Linked DNA regions of Schizosaccharomyces pombe. The gene in region 1 interacts genetically with each later gene. Each region holds a gene or a part of one and is shown on either strand. Other genes may lie near its edges. The genes, in order: ftm6 and cip1.

The links.
Region 2: mutations in ftm6 (region 1) and cip1 together harm fitness more than expected from each alone (negative genetic interaction), as found in Schizosaccharomyces pombe (one large-scale study listed by BioGRID).

Annotation. Positions count from the first base shown.
Region 1 is NC_003423.3:8,628-11,881, reverse strand, and holds ftm6 (transmembrane helix domain-containing protein), read right to left. Parts: upstream 1,314-3,254; coding exon 873-1,313; 3' UTR 531-872; downstream 1-530. Other genes in the region: ftm5 (transmembrane helix domain-containing protein), read right to left, coding at 2,868-3,254.
Region 2 is NC_003423.3:4,261,081-4,265,997, reverse strand, and holds cip1 (RNA-binding protein Cip1), read left to right. Parts: upstream 1-1,920; 5' UTR 1,921-2,052; coding exon 2,053-3,525; 3' UTR 3,526-4,180; downstream 4,181-4,917. Other genes in the region: SPOM_SPBC16A3.17C (transporter), read right to left, coding at 1-439; NuA4 histone acetyltransferase complex subunit Eaf7, read left to right, coding at 4,679-4,835. UniProt on the Schizosaccharomyces pombe protein: Regulates global gene expression after oxidative stress. Interacts and stabilizes mRNAs and may regulate their transition between different cytoplasmic components after oxidative stress.

The DNA.
Region 1 (3,254 bases):
ATGCATTTAATCAAATAAAGTGATAGTAAGCGCAAAGTGTATGACTCAATGAAAATCGGGTGTATCAACTACTCAGTTGTTTACCATACAATGTATTGTAAATTATGGGTAGTGTCGTCGCTATTACATTTAAAAAATATATTATATTGAAGGTATCTAATAAGAAGTAAATGTTTTTCTGTGTAATAATAGTGAATTCTTCTCATCAAAAATATAAACGAACTGATTTTTCGTCACCTTATTAGGTTATACAAAGTCATAACAATGCAAAACCAAAGCGGATAGCATATCAAACTAAGAATATGACTTGCTATTAAAAATTAGTTTCGCTTGAGTTTTATTTTAAGAGTAGTAATAGTCAGAATTTATTGTGCTGATACACTTCAACTTACTTGATTAATAATTGAAAAAGAGAAATTTACAATTGAAATTGAAATGGATGGATTTGAAACAAACCATTCGTCAACATCACCGCTACTTTAAAAATGCTACTGTACTTGCGAGTATAACTACACAAAAGTACATATTTAAGCGGTTGCATCAAGTAATGTCATATATAGAAATACAATAATATAAACGGAGCACAAACTGAACCTCGTTCTTGATATATCAAGTCTTCTTTATTGTACCATAATGTTGTATGTCGTTGTGCTATATTTTTTTGTAAGTTACAATCATACTGATTGGCATAGCTTCTGCTTTTAACTTAACGGTGATCAAGCCATATTTGATCAGGTTAGGCAGAATTCCAATGATTGCATTAGAAGGTTTAGATCTTCAAGTCAATTTTACGATTACAAGCAAAGGAGAAATAGCAATCAAGCCAGTATCGAATACTCATTACACGTATATAGCAAGATACTATGGAATTGTTATTGTGATATGAATCTTGATGGTGGATTATTATAGCCCTGGTGCAGATCACTAATATCGGTTTTCGAGTAAGAATGATTCTTGCTTTCTGACCTAGTGACTTTCTCAATAGAGAAAAGTATAATGACTTGAAATTTAGAAAACGTTCTAATGGAGTTAATGGAGTGAGTTCTAATGAAACGAGGAAAAAATTTGTTATGATATACTACGACGCATCCAAATGTAAAGGATCGGAATTTAGATGAAGCCGATGGTACTTCCGAGTAAATGTACCAACAATATAATAAATAAATCAGCAATTTTACTGCTAGACAATATTTCACTGTGAGGCTTAGTCTTGGTATAAATAGAGGGACTCTGTCAAAACAAATATTTTGAACTAGACTCGAATTCTTCATAATTCTATTCACTTGAGTGTTTATTTTTTTTAACAATGCCATTACATTTACGAGATATGTGGATATCCACTGACGATTATAAGGATGTTTTACTTACGTGTCCTGTGTGGTATGAAATTAGTGAAAGAGAATTAAATCATGCTGTTTGGGGACAATATTAAAATGGTGAAGTTATAATGAAACAGTTGTTGGAAGCGATTAGTTTCAAAAATTAGCGACTCGTATTTTGTTTATTATTATTATTATTTTTTCTTTTTTTTTTATTCGCTGTTTTAAAATTGTTTCCAGCAATCTTCTTCCTGTTCTCTTTTTATCCGTTTGACAACACATTTTGCTAATGCTTTTTTTTTTTTTTTAGTTCAAAGAAGACTGGTACGAGAAATAAACAAGTTGAGTAGTTTCGAAAGCAATTGGCTCTTTCTTTTTTTTTTTAAACTTGTCTTATTAATGTTAACATAACATTTTGTTTTTAGTCCGAGTATGTCGTCAGTTGAAAACCGTAACGGTTCTCATTGTGCCTGTTCTTCCGGTTTATACGAATAAGGTAAGAACATTCAAGAAAGCGTTTGATATGAAGTCTGTTCCATTATTGCTCTTAGTGCCTGACAAACGTTGTTAGTCTGTTTTGAGTTTACAAGTTTGTTAAGCTAATAGCCATTCATTGATCTTCATTGTTACATGCTTTCCATGGAATAGTTGGAGGTGTTTACTTTTCAACTTGTTAGCGATCGCTTGCTAACATTTTTAATAATAGGTACTTTGTTGTTCTCAGTGTGACTGGCACGAACCAGCAAATGTTTACTCGATTGAACAAAGGCGTAGTCATGATGATGATCTTCCTACCATTAAGGGTTCTGATGCTAGTACTCAACAGTATGAAAGAAAAACTTATATTACCGATGCTAGTCCCGAATCTCAGAATCTGTTTTTAAGCAAAAGTAAAGAGGAGGGAGTTATCTTCTTATGCATACAAGTAAGCTTTTAACCTTGATTCTATTTATTCACTTTTACCATTTACTACTTTCGCAAATTCCTGTTTTTTGTTGGGGATATGAAGGGGAATATAAGGGTAAAGTAGATGAAATGGATGTATTTGAAAGTTGATTTGGATTCGATTTATTACTTTGAATCCCCGTTTATTATTATACGTTTATGTCGTTTTAAAGAAAACCATGCGATGTACTATATTAATTTTGTAAAATATATATTATAGATAAAAAAATTGTTGGGAAAATGGGAAAGCAAGTTGAAAATAATTAAATTCAATAAATTAGCAAAATATGTTTATGAAGGTAACCAGTTTTTTCTTTTTATTTTTTTTTTGTCTATATGTCAGATTCGCAACTTTTAAGTTTGAACAAAACATTATTTCACATCGACTCAAAGGTTATGTGTATTTAAAACGTTCCAGTAAAAAAATATTCATTTGTAAAAAATAAATAGGTGGTATATTAAATAAGAATGAACTTACTACACAATTTCTGTGTAAAAAAGTGAGATTAAAATAACTGGATATTAATCCATTGATAAACAAATAATAAATAAAATAATCCCGGTAACCCCTTTAAAGGTGAATCAAGTAAACCATGGTTTTTGTCAAATCATTTTCTCTTGAGCCTCTTCAGCTACATTTCGATTGTAGGCAAGTGCTTCATTATGGGTGGGAAACATTATGTAACATGGAAAAGCAATTTTCTCCATAAAAGTGAAAAGATCACCAATGATCACCGACAGTCTGTAATCAAAGTTTCCAAATATAATATTCGACAGGTAATGCAACATTGGAGATGCACAGAATATAAAGATAAATGCATTTAGCATTCTTCTAAAAAATCTGGCTTTTGAAGCATTTTCGTAAGTTGTTACAGACGTGCATTGTTTCAATAAATGACAAATAGAATACACCCAAATTGCAGGAGATACCTCATACTGGATCATGTCAAAAATCTCTGATACTACATATACGTCTTTATATAAAGAAAT
Region 2 (4,917 bases), 4.3 Mb from region 1:
CTGCGTTGGAAGCAAGGACATAGGCAGATCCAATCCATGATGAACTTGATGTATCATTAAAGTCTTCAGCTATAGTCGGCAAAGCAGTGGTGACAATTGTATTATCTAATGCAGCAAGAAACAAAGTAAGAATTAAGGCAGGAACCACTATTTTCATATTATTTTCTGGGATTAATTGTATATTGGTATCATCATCATTAGAAGCAGATTCTTGTTTAGAGAATTCAGTGGATTGCTTATGCACGTCAAGTTCATTCACTTTGTTTTCATCCGGAACTATGTCGGTTTCTTTAACTTCCTTTTCTTCATTGGAAGGATATGCTGTCAATATAAAAGGACTGGTGGTCTTTTTAAGGGATAGTCCATCTATTGAATTTTGCCCTTCAGCAGCATTTGTTTTAGAGCCGGAAAATGAGTTGTGAGATGAAGAACTAGACATTGCGTATAATTTATGCTCTTGAATAATAAAAATTTTTTAAACAAATGGCCGCTAGTTGAGATGGACGTTTTTTAGACAATTTTACAAATATTTTTAAGGGGGAGAATAAAGAAAAACAAAGACAAGTAAACAAGGAAATATCCTAATAATAAAGCACTAAAAACCCTATCCAAACGCTTATATATTCCTTATAGTCAAATTTCTCATTGTTGAGTCTTATGGTGATTAATTTGGTAAGCGGCTTGCTAGTGGTATTCAGTAAATTTTTATACAAATATGTGTCTAAGTGATTATCACGAAAATCAGACTACTAGCACAATAACATAATCCATCGAGATCTAATACAATTTAAATAAGGAGAAAAGTGAGAGATGTGACATATATTTGTATGCACACTGACAAATTGTTTTGCAGTATTTGCTTTCTCCGGTACGTCGCTCCCCCTTATAATGAACTTCTTTAGTAAGCAGGAGGAGCTTGAACGCACTTCTCAAGAGTGCATCCTTGTTGTCATTCTAGATATGGTTAAACGACAACATGCGAAATATATCAAATAGAAATTTGCGTGGAGATTCCGCGTATCTACAACAGCTTTTAGCCACGTGTCAATTACACGAACCAAGTTTGAAGTGGTAAGATTTCTAAAATGTAATAAGAAACGCAAAAGGAGGTTTTAAAAAGTAATTTTTCCTCGAAGTGTGATACTTGAGTACATTTCAAAAGAAATGGGTGTGCACGGTGAAGCCTTTAAAAGTCATCTAACGATAGTAATTAATGCTGGATGGAAATAGTTCTTAACGCTTAATATAAGTGGTTTTTATGAAATAGAATAAAAGGGAGGATCGCTGCAGCCGTCAATGTACAACAACATGGCACTTGCTTGACATTTTAACGACTCAGCGAACGTATAGTAAATAAGATTACTTCGATAATTAATAGGTGTCGGTTGAAATAACATTTCGTCTATTAGCGAATGAAGGATCGATAATAAAAGCATTCAAATATGCCTGGCATTGTACATTTCCATGATACGCCTTAAAACAAAATAGCAAGTCTGAAGTCAACAGGAACAGTATAGTAAAAAGAAATAGCAGAAAGGAAGAAAAGTTAAGCAATGCTCAAGTCTACTCGAATTTGGCTAATGGAGAGTCCAGCTGTCTACTTTTATTTATCTATACTCTTCTACAGCTGACAAGATACTCGTTTTCGGTAAGGCACAGCTAATTTAGATTACTCGTTTATCATGAGAGATAGCAAAAAAGCTAAGAACAGCTTCAATCGGCTTTTTACGTTCATACTGCTACTCAATATGTTCAGATTTATATTCCTATTAATTATTAACTGCCTTACTATTTACGCAAACAAGTAAGTATATTTTTTTTTGTGTATAGTAAAGTGTTTGCTGCTTTTCGTTGTATTTTGTTAAACAATTTGGTGTGCTACCGTGTGATGCTGCTGAAAGAGACGCTCAATTAATCCTTAGACTGAACTAGCATCTACAAGTGCAGTATTCTAAGGGGCAAATTACGGGAATTTCCTAGTCAATTTTCTCTGTTTTCACATATAACTTTTATTCCTCAGAATATATCTGGACTCGTTCCCCCGCATCTAGAATGCCTAATGAAATATTTCCCTGGAAAATTCGTGTGGATGAAAGTCGAGGATTAGCAGGTAATTCTGGGACGAAAAAATCAAATCATGAAGCATTATCAAGATTACAATCACCCTTGAATTCTCCTAAGCTACAGCCAATTGGTTCTCCTCAGGCTTCTAGGAAAACAAGCGGTTCCGGTTCGAGTGCTCCGCTGTACCCCAAATGGTCCGGTGCCCTTTCTCTTGCTAGTAGTCGTGCTGCATCGCCGGCTCCTTCTGATAGCTTTCCTACTTTTGGTTATTCTCAGCTTGGTGGGCTAGAAAATAGTTCTAAAGGTTCCGCGCTTTTTAACAGCGCCAATTCTATTGGAACTCCGTACCTCTCGTCCAGGAACTCAAATTCAGCAAATGAGGCGAGTGCTATGGCTTTCCACAATGTCTCTCCTCCTAGTGGTGCTGAATCTTCTTCAGAAAGTAAAAGCTTTTCTGCCAGTGGAAAAGGCAATAAAGCTGATACATCCGCAGAGCCTTCGTTGGATGCTTTTAACAGTACCCAAATCAAAGCAGGATCGACTGCCAATTCTAATTCAACACCGGTTGAACCCGGTGAAGATACCATTCCAACGGCTATTGTTGTGAAAAATATTCCTTTCTCGTTGGAGAAAGATACATTGTTGGATCATTTTAAGCAACTAGGTATTCCCAGACCTTATGCCTTTAATTATCACTATGACAATGGAATATTTCGAGGATTGGCTTTTGCTAATTTTTATCGTCCTGAAGAGGCTCAAGTTGTTGTGCAAACGCTTAATGGCTATGAAATTAATGGCAGACGTCTTCGTGTTGAATGGAAACGCCAATTACCAGCTGCAGAACGCGAGAAGGTGGAAAAAGCAAAGAAACGTCAAGCTGAAGAAAGACGTCGTAAACAGCAGTACAAGATGTTTGAAGTTAGCTTTACTGATCAAGGCTTAAATTTGAATGACACTGGTACCCTTGAAACTTATAGTAGACTTCTATTGTTTGCTCATCAATGCATTCCTTCTCGTGAAATAACATTTGAAACCACTTCTAAGGACGGAAACCTTCTAAATGCCATTAGAATCTTTTGCCTGTACTTTGATCTCGATTACTATGCTCGCCCGAATGGAGAGGTGTTAAAATTAGTAGTTACTCATCCGAATAAAAAGAATACGAGCGTAAGTCAGTCGCAACCTGCATCTCCAAATTTAAGATTTAATATGCCGGCACCGTTAGCTACTCGATTTTTGCAAGAGCATTCATTGAATGGTACTAAGAGTGCCCCTATAACCCCACCTCCCAGTTTCGCAGTACCATTGACAAACCAACTTCGTTCGATTGACGACAAAATTTATGGAAATGAATCACCGCTTCAAAAGGCTTCTACTTTGAGTTCACCTTTCAATTCAAAAAATGATAATGATGCTTCTACCTCCGCTTCCAAGCAGAGTTTTGGTGTCTCCCACTTTTAGAGTCTATGCAATTATAAAGAAACTGTTTATGTACCTTTTAAGATATGATTTTTGTTTACGCCAACTATAGATGCATTTACTATACGCTATTTGTTTTGACTAAATTTTGCTCTTTATCCCTTTATCACTTACTTCTGATGAATCTAAACTCTATGGGCTTCATTTTGTTGATTTTTTGTTTTCCCTTTCACATAGTTGGTTATCCAGCAAATAATCCTTTTAAATACTTAGAAGCTTATATTTTATCGTTTTGAATTCCCACGACACATTTGGACGACTCGACTTAACAGCAATCAATGATGGATATATGTTGGGTGAGGCATAATGTTTTATGACGATAATCAACGGATGAGCGATGCTCCTATTTTTTTACAAATTATAACGATTTTTCTTGTATAAGAAATTTATGCCCTACCGTATAATATACACATACTTTACATGATTAAATTTAACCTTGGACAAATACATTAGTCTGATATTACAAAATTGAACTTTTATTTTTGTAAATTTAATCATCTTCTTTATGTGGATGTGAATGTTCCTAGCTTAGTATTACCGTACTATGGATATAGAAATAAACCTACGATTTAAAGTCTATTTTCTACCAAGCTTGTAGGGCTTTAAATGAGCTACTTTAAAATTACCTAAAATATCGTTAAATTTTCCTATATAATGCGAATTGATTTATATGTAAAAAAGAAAAAGAAATTGCAAGCATGGTGGACTTTTAGTTCCATTGTTAGTAAGTTGTAATTAAAGGAAGTTACAAAGGATTCACTAAAATAAGAATACTTTATGGGTTATCGCAGCCTTACTCAATTACTGCACTTGAATGTCTATTGAATTTAAGAATGAAGAAAGGATAACACAAAGATGCACGATTCTTTTTGGATGAACTTTTATTTTTTGTTAAGGTTATGAAAAAAGATGAAATACACTTGACCTTGTAATTACTGCAGCTAGAAAAAGAAAATATTATAAAAACCAGTTTCATGAGTTATGGCTGGAAGTACCGCACAACACCATAAATATTGATAATCTGCTATATTGCCGATAATATAAAGTTAAATTAGTAGAAAAAGTAAACTAAGAAACAGAAATTTTCTTATTTTACCCATATAAACCTATGTATTAGAGGATAGCAATTGTATTTATGAGTTCGAGGGGAACAAGATCATCAACTGCTGCCGAGCAGAAAAGGCAGGAGGATGTAAATAAAGAATCAAATATGAATGATTCTGTTACTGAATGGTCTGTTTTAGAGGAAACCTTACTGTTAAAAGCTATTTGTCGTGGATTGCGCCCTGTAGGTAAGTGTTCGAAAGGTTAATTGCTCGGTCTCTTATTTTAAAAGCTGCATGTTATCAAATTATTGCATTCATTCACTAATTA